Schizosaccharomyces pombe: one gene and its partners. The protein of the gene in region 2 interacts with the protein of the main gene of each other region in a biochemical or structural test. Each region holds a gene or a part of one and is shown on either strand. Other genes may lie near its edges. The genes, in order: moa1, cnp3 and csm1.

The links.
Region 1: the proteins of cnp3 (region 2) and moa1 form a complex in vitro, tested with the Schizosaccharomyces pombe proteins (one study listed by BioGRID).
Region 3: the proteins of cnp3 (region 2) and csm1 form a complex in vitro, tested with the Schizosaccharomyces pombe proteins (one study listed by BioGRID).

What each region holds. Positions count from the first base shown.
Region 1 is NC_003424.3:3,728,016-3,731,092, reverse strand, and holds moa1 (meikin), read left to right. Parts: upstream 1-2,058; coding exon 2,059-2,577; downstream 2,578-3,077. Other genes in the region: NatA N-acetyltransferase complex catalytic subunit Naa10, read right to left, coding at 102-189, 393-449, 497-599, 915-1,109, 1,196-1,286; retromer complex subunit Vps29, read right to left, coding at 2,989-3,077. UniProt on the Schizosaccharomyces pombe protein: Plays an important role in chromosome segregation during meiosis I by allowing meiotic rec8 to establish cohesion at the centromeric central core and thereby promote the side-by-side structure of kinetochores at meiosis I.
Region 2 is NC_003423.3:4,125,661-4,130,449, reverse strand, and holds cnp3 (centromere protein), read left to right. Parts: upstream 1-1,783; 5' UTR 1,784-1,881; coding exon 1,882-1,958; exon of another isoform or gene 1,959-2,038; coding exon 2,039-2,346; intron 2,347-2,453; coding exon 2,454-3,881; intron 3,882-3,961; coding exon 3,962-4,080; 3' UTR 4,081-4,132; downstream 4,133-4,789. Other genes in the region: mrpl44 (mitochondrial 54S ribosomal protein mL53), read right to left, coding at 4,192-4,304, 4,378-4,567.
Region 3 is NC_003424.3:5,284,280-5,287,947, reverse strand, and holds csm1 (microtubule-site clamp monopolin complex subunit Csm1/Pcs1), read right to left. Parts: upstream 1,839-3,668; 5' UTR 1,819-1,838; coding exon 1,767-1,818; exon of another isoform or gene 1,728-1,766; coding exon 1,386-1,727; intron 1,340-1,385; coding exon 1,127-1,339; exon of another isoform or gene 1,072-1,126; coding exon 893-1,071; 3' UTR 658-892; downstream 1-657. Other genes in the region: ubiquitin-conjugating enzyme Ubc13, read left to right, coding at 1-97, 250-334, 392-564; Munc family exocytic/endocytic regulator Ync13, read left to right, coding at 2,249-2,331, 2,378-3,668. UniProt on the Schizosaccharomyces pombe protein: The monopolin-like pcs1/mde4 complex is essential for accurate chromosome segregation during mitosis and meiosis II. May clamp together microtubule binding sites on the same kinetochore, preventing merotelic attachment of microtubules.

The DNA of each region.
Region 1 (3,077 bases), on a different chromosome or scaffold from region 2:
GCGAGTACAATCAAATGTTAAATACGCTATCACGAAGTTATAACTGCAGTATCGTACACTACACCCTAATTCACTAATTAGAAATAACGGTATATATTTTATTAGTTGTTCAATGCAAGAGATTGAACGGTTTTTGCTAGTTCGTCGTTGGTTTCTGGTGTATCGAATTTCAAAGTAGAAAAATCTTTGCTAAAAATTGTTAGTAACCTAGATAGTTGTGATGACGTTGAACAGTCATATATTGTCTGAAACAACGTAGGTAATTATACAGAAGTTGACCAAACTAAAGAAAGAACGATTGTCACAAAGATTGTATATAGTTTTTGGAAAGAATACTCATTAAACGATCCATGCAACCATCCCCAACCTAGTTTTTACAACAAAGTACTTACTGCATAGCATAAGCATCTTCACCATCAGCATAATATTTGCTTTCAATCCCTTGAACGCTAAAATAATGTTAGAATCTCTTCAATGATGGCGAGTAAAAACATACTCAAATTGCAAAGTATCACGATAAAGATGAATAGCAGCTCTGTTGCTTTTACGAACATGAAGACTCATATATTTGGCGCCATAAACTTCGACCATGGCTCTTTCTGTTCATTTAAGTAGTTAGTATCTTTTACTTTTTTTAAAAAAATTTTGTTTAAGGAATGGACCGAAAATATCAAGGAATCAGCAGGAAGGAAACATTGTCGAAAACAAATTAGGTAAAAAAAATGAATTGTTGCAAGGAAAAAACCAACTCACCAAATGAACAATTCAAAGTATTAGCAGACCAAGTCTTGCACAAAATAAAATATATACATATTGGAATAATCATCGATAACAACTGCAAAAAAGCTTAAGATTTCCCTCTAGCTCCTCCTTGGATATATCCGTAATCTACTTCGCTCTCAATTAACACTTACGACTTTGAACCATGAGACGTTTAGCAAGTCCTAGATGACGATAGGAGCGCATTACTGAGACACTTGTGATATGACCATGAGGGATCCCATCCTTAGGCTCTTCTTCCATTTTTGCAAGAACATATCCTACGACACGTCCTTTCGGATCAGTAGCAACATAAGAAAGCATAGGCCAAGAAATAGCATGATAAAGGTCTACATTAAATTAGAAAATAAGAATCATTGTTTTAATACTGGAAGTTCATTGCCGTGCAGCAAGAATTACAATGAATTGAACTTACAATATTTTAACTGATAATTTTCAGGCAAGTTATGTAAGTTGCAGTTCTGCATCCCAGTAAGGTCACTTATACGAGCTGGCCGAATATCCATCTTGCCAATCGTTTAATTTTTAGCAATATCTATGATTTTTGTTTGTTAGTGGTTGGAATCAAATTTCCAGCATACCATATTTTAAGAAAGCGCAGTGAATGTAAAACGAAATTCAGGGAATGCAAAGCAACTACTGCAAAGCTTTTAGAAATGATAAGATTCATTTGATGTTAATATTATCTGTCAAGTATTTTAACGTCAAATATTTACTGCTTTGCTAAAAAAACTATGTTTTTTGGAGACTCACAATGTTCGACGTTAAGCTCCTTTTAAGTTACAAGCCGTTTAGTACACATTGCATAACCAAATTTCTAATTACTTAATGTTGCGTTTCCTAAGTTGTTTTGATTTTCAATGCAGATGATGAGAAATCCTTATTATAAATAGACAATGATGTTTACGATGGATTGCACACTTAAAGACATTAAATCAAAACTTTATATTAATTAGCCATTAATTATATAATCTAAGTTAATACTTATAATCACCATAACATATTTTGTTTACTGTGGAATCAAAAAGGATTAGCGATGCTTGATTGAATCCTTTATTATCTTAAAGTCACACTACCTTGGTTTTCCTTTAAAAGTTTTAACAGCAGCCTTGTGGTTTCACTTAGGCTAAGTAAACTCAACGAAAAAACATTAAGATTTGTTATTCGTAAATTCAGCTAGTAGACCTCGAACATTAGGTTTTCCCATTGGTAAAAATGTAAACAAAACCGCATTAATCATATAAAACATTAAGCGAAAAAAAACAATAGATTGCATTTATGGCTATAAATAATGAAAACGAATTAGAGTATAAATTAATAAAAAAAAACAAGAATCCTAAAATATCAAATTCAAAAAAAAAGAATTCGACACGTCCAGCTTTACAAGACAAAACTAATCAAACATTACCAATTCATCAAAATCAAGCCTTTTCAAACATTCTTCCATCTGATTTTTCAATAATTAAGACACCTGAGACAAAAACTGCTGACGATTTCCCCGTAAATGGTTACGAAGGCTTAAACATTTTAAAATTTGATCTCGAGTTATTTTACAAACTTAAACCTGTAGCAACGTCGACCCCGAAGTCTTGCATGAGGACGGGCTCCAATTTATTTTTAAATGAAACTGTTAAACATGTTCCAGATGAACGGTTAGTTTCAAACATCAAGAATACCCAAACAAAGGACTCTATCACAAGAGATTCTGCGTATTATCACAGAAAAACTATGACAGAAAGCATAATCAAAACACTCGCTGCATTTGATGCTGAGGTTGATGAGATTATATTGTTTTAAATCTCTAACTGACACTGGAATATAATCGTACTTTTCAAGTACTAACGCATCTATTTTTCATATGATATATTTATTAAAAAAGATTTACAAACCTGCTTTACAAATCAACCTTGACTACGATTTTATTTATACATATCGATCAGGACAAACGATAGCATGTTCAACAATATTTGACGCGAAAGGCCGACAAAGAAAAGTGGATAAAGTCAGCGCATAAATTTAACCTTCAAACATTTCTTTCATTTTAAAAAAGCAAGTAAGGAAAGCACATACTTTTCGGTAGTCTACATACTCGGTAAATTAAGATACGGATTATGCTATAATAAACAGAAAAACATCTAATTATCATTTAACACTTCTTTACGATGAAAAGACCGCATATTCCGTGGTTCAATCGTATATTTCATGAGATTATTCTGGTTTTCTGTACTGCATTTTTTCAACCCGGACCTCTCCATCAAAAATCCTATAAACATAAAGTATTAAAACTGCTCCTTGAA
Region 2 (4,789 bases):
AGGGGCACACATTGGCGGCAACCCGAATGGAATACAAAAAATGCAAATTTTGATTTCAATCGACCAATGCTATAAATGAAAAAGACAAATAAAATCGAATCATATAAAAAAACAGAATAAATAATGAGACAGACAGTGGAAATGATCCAGCGGCATCGAGAATTTAAAAAATCGGCTCTTCTCTAATAGTATCTTTTTGCATTTGCAACGGAGCGCATATTACAAATCTAAGGTTGAATACTAATTATTACGAATAATAAGCTATAAAACTATTTTTTTTGGAAATAAACAGCTATTTAGATTAGAGTACATGAGTACTACTGTTAGTAAACAAAACGACATTCACTCTCTATATTTATGGCAAATTTTTAACAGCTAATTTTAACAATTTCTTGAGTTGCCACTCAAAGTATAAAGAGATATGCCTTCTTCGATTTACTTGTTGAAACTACCAATTTAAATAATAGCTGCTAACGGCTTCTAGTGATATTCCTTAAACGGCAATCGCCATTTTAAGGAAGAAAGGCCAATTGGTCGCACTAATAAGGACCTGATTTGAAGCCGCTGTAAAATAGGGTTTTCCCTTTTTTGCTGAGTTCGCGTGAAGGTTGTAGGCGAAATAAAGTGACAATATACATTCAAAATACAGACTTCATTATGGGAACTTTCATTTTCTTTATAGTGGTAGCAGGATAACCTAGCCTTTGTGTATAAGGTGATATCCTTTTACAGAGGTTAGCTATGGATTCTTGTAATACAGCCAAAAGTACGTACATAAATTTTGAGTAAAAAATTCGGGTATGGTTGAAGGAGGCGTAAACGGAAGCATTTTCTTGGCGTTAATTGAACATGTTTCGCACTTTAGTCTTCTTACTATGTCATGAAAAGAGCTATTTTAATTATTGTACGGGGTGGCTTGCTAAATATTGATCTGCTAGATATAAAATTAATAAATAAATAATAAAATAATAAAAAATTTTGTAAAAAGAGAAGCGAAAAACCAAACCGACTTAACTTTTTGTAAATAAATATATTTAATTTTATTTACTTTTGAATTTTTTTTTCAGCCCTATTCAAGATCAATTGACCCCTTTTTTGGCAAAATTTCACCATTGCTGAGATTTCGGCATCAGAAAATTTTCACATACTATGGTGAAAAAAAGAAAACAGTCAAGGCGTAGCATCGCAAATTTGGATTCATACAAGAAAAAAAATCTCGTCAGCAATACGCTTAATAACACCGACTGTAATAAATAATGGTGGTTTAGCACTAATATAATCGTAAGTTAATAAACAATCATCAATTGGATGGCCAAGCCAGAAGAAATCCCAAAAATAAAAAAATTATAAAAAATGATAAATCTATTTTTAATCTCTTAAATTGTTATTGCGGTAGGCCGTTTTTTTGAATGTCAATTGCTCAATCCGTCTTTTCCACTATTTGGGTTCATCCCTTGGTAGCGGCTACTTAATATGCTTCTAGGTAGGGTTCATTTCTTCTCTGGAATTCCCTTTCTGACCTTCATTCTAAGGAGGCATGTTTGTTTCTGTTTACCGTAATCTACGCTGTCAGCACTAGTAAGTTTCATTTCCAACGCAATTTCGTATTTGTTTGCCTAACATTATATAACTATAAAATGCATTCAGAAAAACAGAAAAGCGCTTAGGCAATTAAGTTTATATGTATTGGTTAGTTATACTGGAAGCAAAAATGAATACACCTTGCCTTTTCGCATGGGTCTGATTGATAGGCTTATTCCATGACACATAATGTACATCCTGTACTACACGTAAACAAGAAAGACAACACTTACGTCCCCATATATTGTTTTGTTTGGCTATTTAGGCTATATTTTTACTTAATGTTTATTTAATAGAATAATGACGATGAATGAAACGTCTGCTATTCCGGCAAGACAACGAGAGAATCAGTTTTTTGAAATTGGTGTCGTAGGCAGGTACGTTCGCGAATTGGGTTCCATATATCGTAATAATTATTCTTTTTTTAATAAATTTACTAAAAAATATTTTTATCTAGAAAAACAGGATTCACAGTTCCCAGAGACGTTAAAAAAGGCGATGATGGATTCGAGGATATGGATGCTTATTTTCTTTCCGACGGTTCCATCCATTTGGACGAAGATAATGGAGACATTGAGCAGGATATGCCGCCAGTAACAAGACTTCAACCTACGTCTCCAATGGCAGTCAATGCTGCTTCTGATGAAGCTTCTCATGCCTCATCTTCTGACTCTAGTGATAAAAACCCGGATATTCCTTCTTCACCATTGTTGATGAATTCGAGAGCTCTTCGGGCTAGCCGTGGTTCGTCTGGTCCTTTAATTGGTAAGGTTCTATCTACGCATCACAGATTTTTATTTTACAACTCCTCAAATACTCTACTGTTACTTTCCGTTTCATTTCATTGATAAAATTACTAATTATACATACAGTACCTATAGATCACTCAGCTTTTCAAGCGGAAGATGAAGGAACCGCTGATAAGACGAAAGTCGATGGCAACAAATTATCAATTCAGCCAAGAAAAGCAAATCGAATTGTCGATTTTTCTAGGATAAAAGCATCTCCAGATAGAAAAAAATTCGAACCTCGAAGAAGTACCGAACTTCCTTCCAAAATACCATCCTCTACGCCCAAGGATGATAACGTTCAAGAATCGCCTGCATTCCCCGATGAAAATATTACTGCTTTACAAAAAAATGTAGCGAATTTTACTAGTATCAAGGATAGTGGTGGTCGCGATAATCTTTATATACAAACCATTTCAAAACCCCGTAGAAGTTATGTTCAAAATAATAAGTCAGAACAGACGATTAAGCCTTCTAAACAGAATAAGCAAAAAGAGGAAAAGAAAACAATATCCCAGGGCAACAAACCAAATTCTAGAGATGAAGATTCCGAACTTTCTATCGATGTCCCGCTTTCTATGCTTAATCGAAGCCTAGCAAACAATTCTCAAAAGAATAAGAAAAGAACACCTAATAAACCTTTACAAGAATCAAGCATAAATTCTGTTAAAGAAGGGGAGTCAAATCCAGTAGTCAAGAGAAAACGTGGTCGACCTCGTAAGAACAAATTAGAAATCGGCAATTCTGTTCAAACTAGTGAGGCTACACAAGTTAAAGGCGCAAAGAAACCTGCAATTAGAAACGCGAAGAAGATGTCCAACGAGAAGGATGACTCATTGAATTCACAATCAGATTCAGCTTCTGGAGAATTTATTAAAACAATTGCTCGAAATAATTTACAGGAAATTAAACAGGTCGAACGTGAAGATACACTAGTTGGTGTCCGAAGGTCGAAACGTACACGAATAGCACCACTAGCATTTTGGAAGAATGAGCGTGTTGTATATGAATTACATAGAGATGAAAATCGAATTCCAGCACTACCGGAAGTAAAGCAGATAATCCGAGTTGACGATCCATCACCTTCAATTCGTCAAGGTCGCAAGAAAAGGCATGCAAAGCGCTCAGGAGTTGAAATAAAAAGTAACTTGGAAGCAAAATCGAATGATGTTGAAGAATATGATGCTTTTTACAAAGACGAAATAAACTGTGAAGTTCTATCTTGGAATGAACAAAACCCAAAAGCCTCTGAAGAACGAGTAGTCGGCTATTCATTGCCTTCTGTAAATCTCCAGCAAATCTCTAATCAACAACTAAAATTTGCCAGCTTGTTCAAGGAGGAGCCATCTTTTGCTGCTGGCGTCGTTGAAATGCCAGCAGGAGCAGAAAAACCAGTGAAGCCTTCGAAACACAACATAATGTCTTTTTGTATACTACAGGGAAAGATCGAGGTCACAGTAAATGCAACCACTTTTCGAATGAAAAAAGATGGAGTATTTATTGTTCCAAGGGGTAAGTTTAAATATACACATTTCTAAAAATTCAAACAGGAATTATACACCGAGAATGTGTTTTGACTAACATTGCTTTAGGGAATTATTACAGCATAAAAAATATCGGCAAAGAAGCTGTTCGACTTTATTATACCCATGCGACCGACACCTTGGAAAATAAAAGAAGGGGAATAGGGGATTTTCCAAACGAACGATGACAATACTAATAGTGTGTTATGGATTTCGATGTACAAAAGTCATTTAGTCGTTATGTAATTTAATTATCTGTTATCAATTTAATCATATTAATAAAGTCATTTTTTCTAAACTTATTTTTGCATCATTTCCTTAAATTTAAGCGTTTTACTGTAATCGTCAATTAATTCAGTTAGCCTACCAATATTCATTTTTGTCGGATCAACAGTCAACTTTTTTCCATCCTCTAAATAATAATTATTAGCAAAAGTCAAATCTAACGGTCGCAGTTAAACCATCTAGCTACTTAAAAGCCTTACTGTATACAACTTCAACAGATGGTTTTGAATTGGTATCCTTTGATGCAAGACTGGTAATGAGATTAAGTCCATAAAGAGAGTTGCTGGTTTCTTTACTGGCAACTGCTAGCAAAAGTTTCGCAGATTGACTAGCTTTGGAAAACGGGTTCACATTCAAAATTGACAATTTATTAATGTACCCAAATATCATGATTAAAAATTTTAACTGGAGAGTAAAGTCGTCAAGGAATGTAATTAAAAGAGATCTTTATGTGTAGATATTTTAAATACATTAAATGGTGGTAAGTTTTGTAAACGAAATGACATTTGGTAAGCTAGGTGACCGTTACCCTGATAGTCTCACTTCCTACAACAACTAAGTCAACTTGGAGATACAAACGAAACTAGTATGTCTCTATAATACAATTTGTCA
Region 3 (3,668 bases), on a different chromosome or scaffold from region 2:
TCGCTATTTTAAAATTACTATGGAAGGGCCTCAGCAATCAGCTTATGAAGGTGGAAAATTTCACTTAGAGCTGTTTCTTCCTGATGAGTATCCAATGGTAGGTTTTTTTTGAAAACACAGTATTGAGCCTACCATGGTCCTTTTGCTAGCCCTGCTAGTTCAACAAAAATTTGAAGAATGGCATTGTCAGTTTCAAACTGTCTTCAAAAAATTGTATAATTGTGTAATTTGAGTTTTAACAACTATTAGATGCCTCCCAATGTTCGTTTTCTTACTAAAATTTATCATCCAAACGTTGATAAATTAGGTCGCATATGTTTATCTACGTTAAAAAGTATGTTAAACTTCACACGTTTCATCTTATTTTGGTGTACTAACATTAATAAATCAGAGGATTGGAGTCCTGCTTTACAAATTCGAACCGTGCTACTTTCGATACAGGCATTAATGGGTGCTCCCAACCCAGATGACCCTTTAGACAATGATGTTGCAAAGATTTGGAAAGAAAATGAGCCACAGGCAATTGCAAATGCCCGTGAATGGACGAAAAAGTATGCAGTTTGATTACTTATGATAGTCCAATGCTTATGGTTATCACTAGAATAATAATATATTACGATATCAATAGCTTTCTATATACAGTCTTTGATTTGAATTCTACCCATTTCCTTAAGTTTTTTGCATTCAATTTTTTCCTAAGCGGTTAAGGTCTTTTCGAATAAAAGATGTAAAAATTAATAATAGATAATTATGGTAGCAGAATACAAACATCGCAGCTTTTGACGGACGATGAAAAAAGTGATATCTCGACGAGCACAATTAATTTAAGATATAGTGCTATTCATATAACAAGGAAGTATTAAAGTTTAAGCAAAATCCATAGTTATTATTGTTAATCTTGCAAAGCTTTCATTAATCTAGCAGAAAATAATTTTCCTTGTTCTTTCGTAAAGATAATTTCCTCCAACAAATAGTCTGGTAAATGTTTCATAAGCTCCTCATCAGTTTGAACATTCAGACGTGGAGTAAATGTAAAGTTTTGATCATCTAACAAGAGCTGATATTCGAGTGCTATAATAATATCCTGTTAGCTTGAAATTATTTCTAAATCCCTTAAAGCACTTACTCCCTCTCCTTCCAGTGTTTTTACAGTTGAAACGATATCCATCCTCGTCCTCTATACAGTCTGCAACTTCTAATCCGAAAAGCTCCTTTATAAGTATATTAATTTTTGAATAGTTTTTTATTTGCTCTCGAGTTTTCAATAACTCATTCTTTAACGAATGGTTAGCTTTCTTTTCATTTTCTAGTTCTTTTTTTAAATCTTTGACTATTGTGTCTTCTTGAATGTAAGTAAAAAATTCAGAAATAGGCCTTAGTCTTACCATCAGCGTCAGCGCCAGCATTGGTAACAGGTTTTGCCAAATCTTCAAGTAAATAAAATTCTTGTAGTTCATTAATTTTTCGTATCAGCTTGTTCAGTTCATTGAATTCCTGCTCTTGGGTGTGCGAAAGAGTAGATAACTCTACGTTAGGGAGTTGCAACTTCTTATTCAACTCTGACATCCCGGAATTATTGATATGAAGTTCATTTTCGTTCTCCCTTACACTATATGCATCTTGATCTTCATTATTAACAAAATCCTGAGTTGAATGCATTTGTCCTTGAGAGATGCGTGTACGCTGTTTTGGTAATTTATGAATAAGCTTGGACGATTTTCCTTTAGCTTTGATATGTCAGCTTAATCTACACAGAATAAATATACCTTGTTCTTTTAGTTCACTATCTTTAGATGTTTGCATATTATTTTTTCTCATACTTTGTGGTGGATAGTGTTAACATTAATAATTGATCCTGGTGTGCAAATACATTAAATAAATCTAAAATATATCATAATAACTGTTTTATATTTCTTTCAATATAGTCCTTGAAGCCACTTTATTTTGACCGTCTTAGACGGTGGATTCTTTGGATTAAGCAGAAATTATGCAGTTAGCTTGATTCCAAATACAAGTTGCATTATTGCCTACTAATTTAATATTTTTAACAGATGAGCTACCAAGTCTTTCATAGTAAAATCATGTTTCTTTAATTCTTCTCTGTCATAGATTTCCGATTACACCTCCGCCTATCTCACCATATTTCTCCCACTCAATACATTCTCTAGGCTATTATATATCCTTCGATCCTGTTGCTTAACCTGCAAAGAAACTAAATTAAATATCTTCATTTTATTTTCTAAATGGGATGAATTGTAGACGAAAACCTCTTCCTTTACACTCGAACGAAGTTCAAGCTGCAGAGTCTATAAGTAAAGATGAGCTCTATAGGTTTGTTATTTCATTACTTTTCATTTTAATTAACCAACGTATTTAGCTGGACTTTAAAGAATGTGTTAATCCTGTTCTTAGTACAGTATCGTGCATCTACCCCTTCAGCTCTGCAGACATCATCATTTAGTACACCAGTTGAGAAAAAGACCAATGGGGCATTTTCTGGTAGTCTATTTTCTGCCAAAGAAAAAAAAGATAATCCAAAATATCCCAAGGATTTTATAAAATATTTATCGCTTGCCCTTGAGAGTATTAGTATGGGAAAAGAGCCAGAATATCAAGATCAGTTGATCAGAGGATGTTTCGCAGCATTTTACAATAACATAAACAAATCTCATATATCTAAGCAATTAAAAGACTCGAGGAAAATTGAGGATATGTTTTTGATTTTTGCCAGCTCTGTTTCATCTGAACTTACTAAACGTTTGGGAACAGCTTACGATTCAAATTTAGCAGACAGAATTACTGCTTCCTTTATTGAGTTATGCAAAAGAGTCACGCTTAAAGGCCAATTGGCTTCCCCATCATCTGAATTTGTATCCCATCTTGACATGTATCACTCAAAGCTTCTCAACAAAAGTGAAATACTGAGTACAAAACGCGTTAATAGAGGACAAGATCAATTTGACCTTTCATCTTTTCCTTTGTTAAAAGTTTTTTCGTCAGTATTCAAGGTTGCTTATTCAAAAGCATTGTTGGATGCTGAAAAATTATTTCCCTCAATAGATGAGGCCGCCATAGCTGAAGATATTGGCATTTTAATTGAGGATTTAGAAAGTGATGCTTGTAAATTTTCGCATTCGGTGGTCGATTTTTCTAATTATAAATCATACTCCACTTGGAAAGCTCGTGAACTTCAAACACTAGAACAACATCGTAAAATCATGTTAAGTTTGATTCCTCTTTCTTCATCACCAAATCACCCTATTCAACCGATTGGTTTTCCTGCCAGTAGAAAAACGCCGACATACGTGCCGCCAATAGCGCGGCCTTACTTTCGGCAACTTCTATCGCTATGTCTTGAATACAGATTACAAGTTACAGATCCTGTTGAAGTCAAGCAAATAAACACATTTATAAGGGAGTGCTCCATTTACTGGAGAATATTGCCATCCACTCGCTGTGCTTTGAGTATGGATTTTGCACGCGAACATTTACAAAAAGGGTTGATAACTTCAGCAGACGTTTTGACACATTTCGGTGAGCTTCATAAGTCACTCAAAGAATGGGAGATAACATATTGGCCAAAGATCGATGTTTCAATTTTTAGTTCTGCATTGTTTGGAATCAGAAATGCATTAGCTCAACTTTTAAAGAAATCACTTTTAGATTTG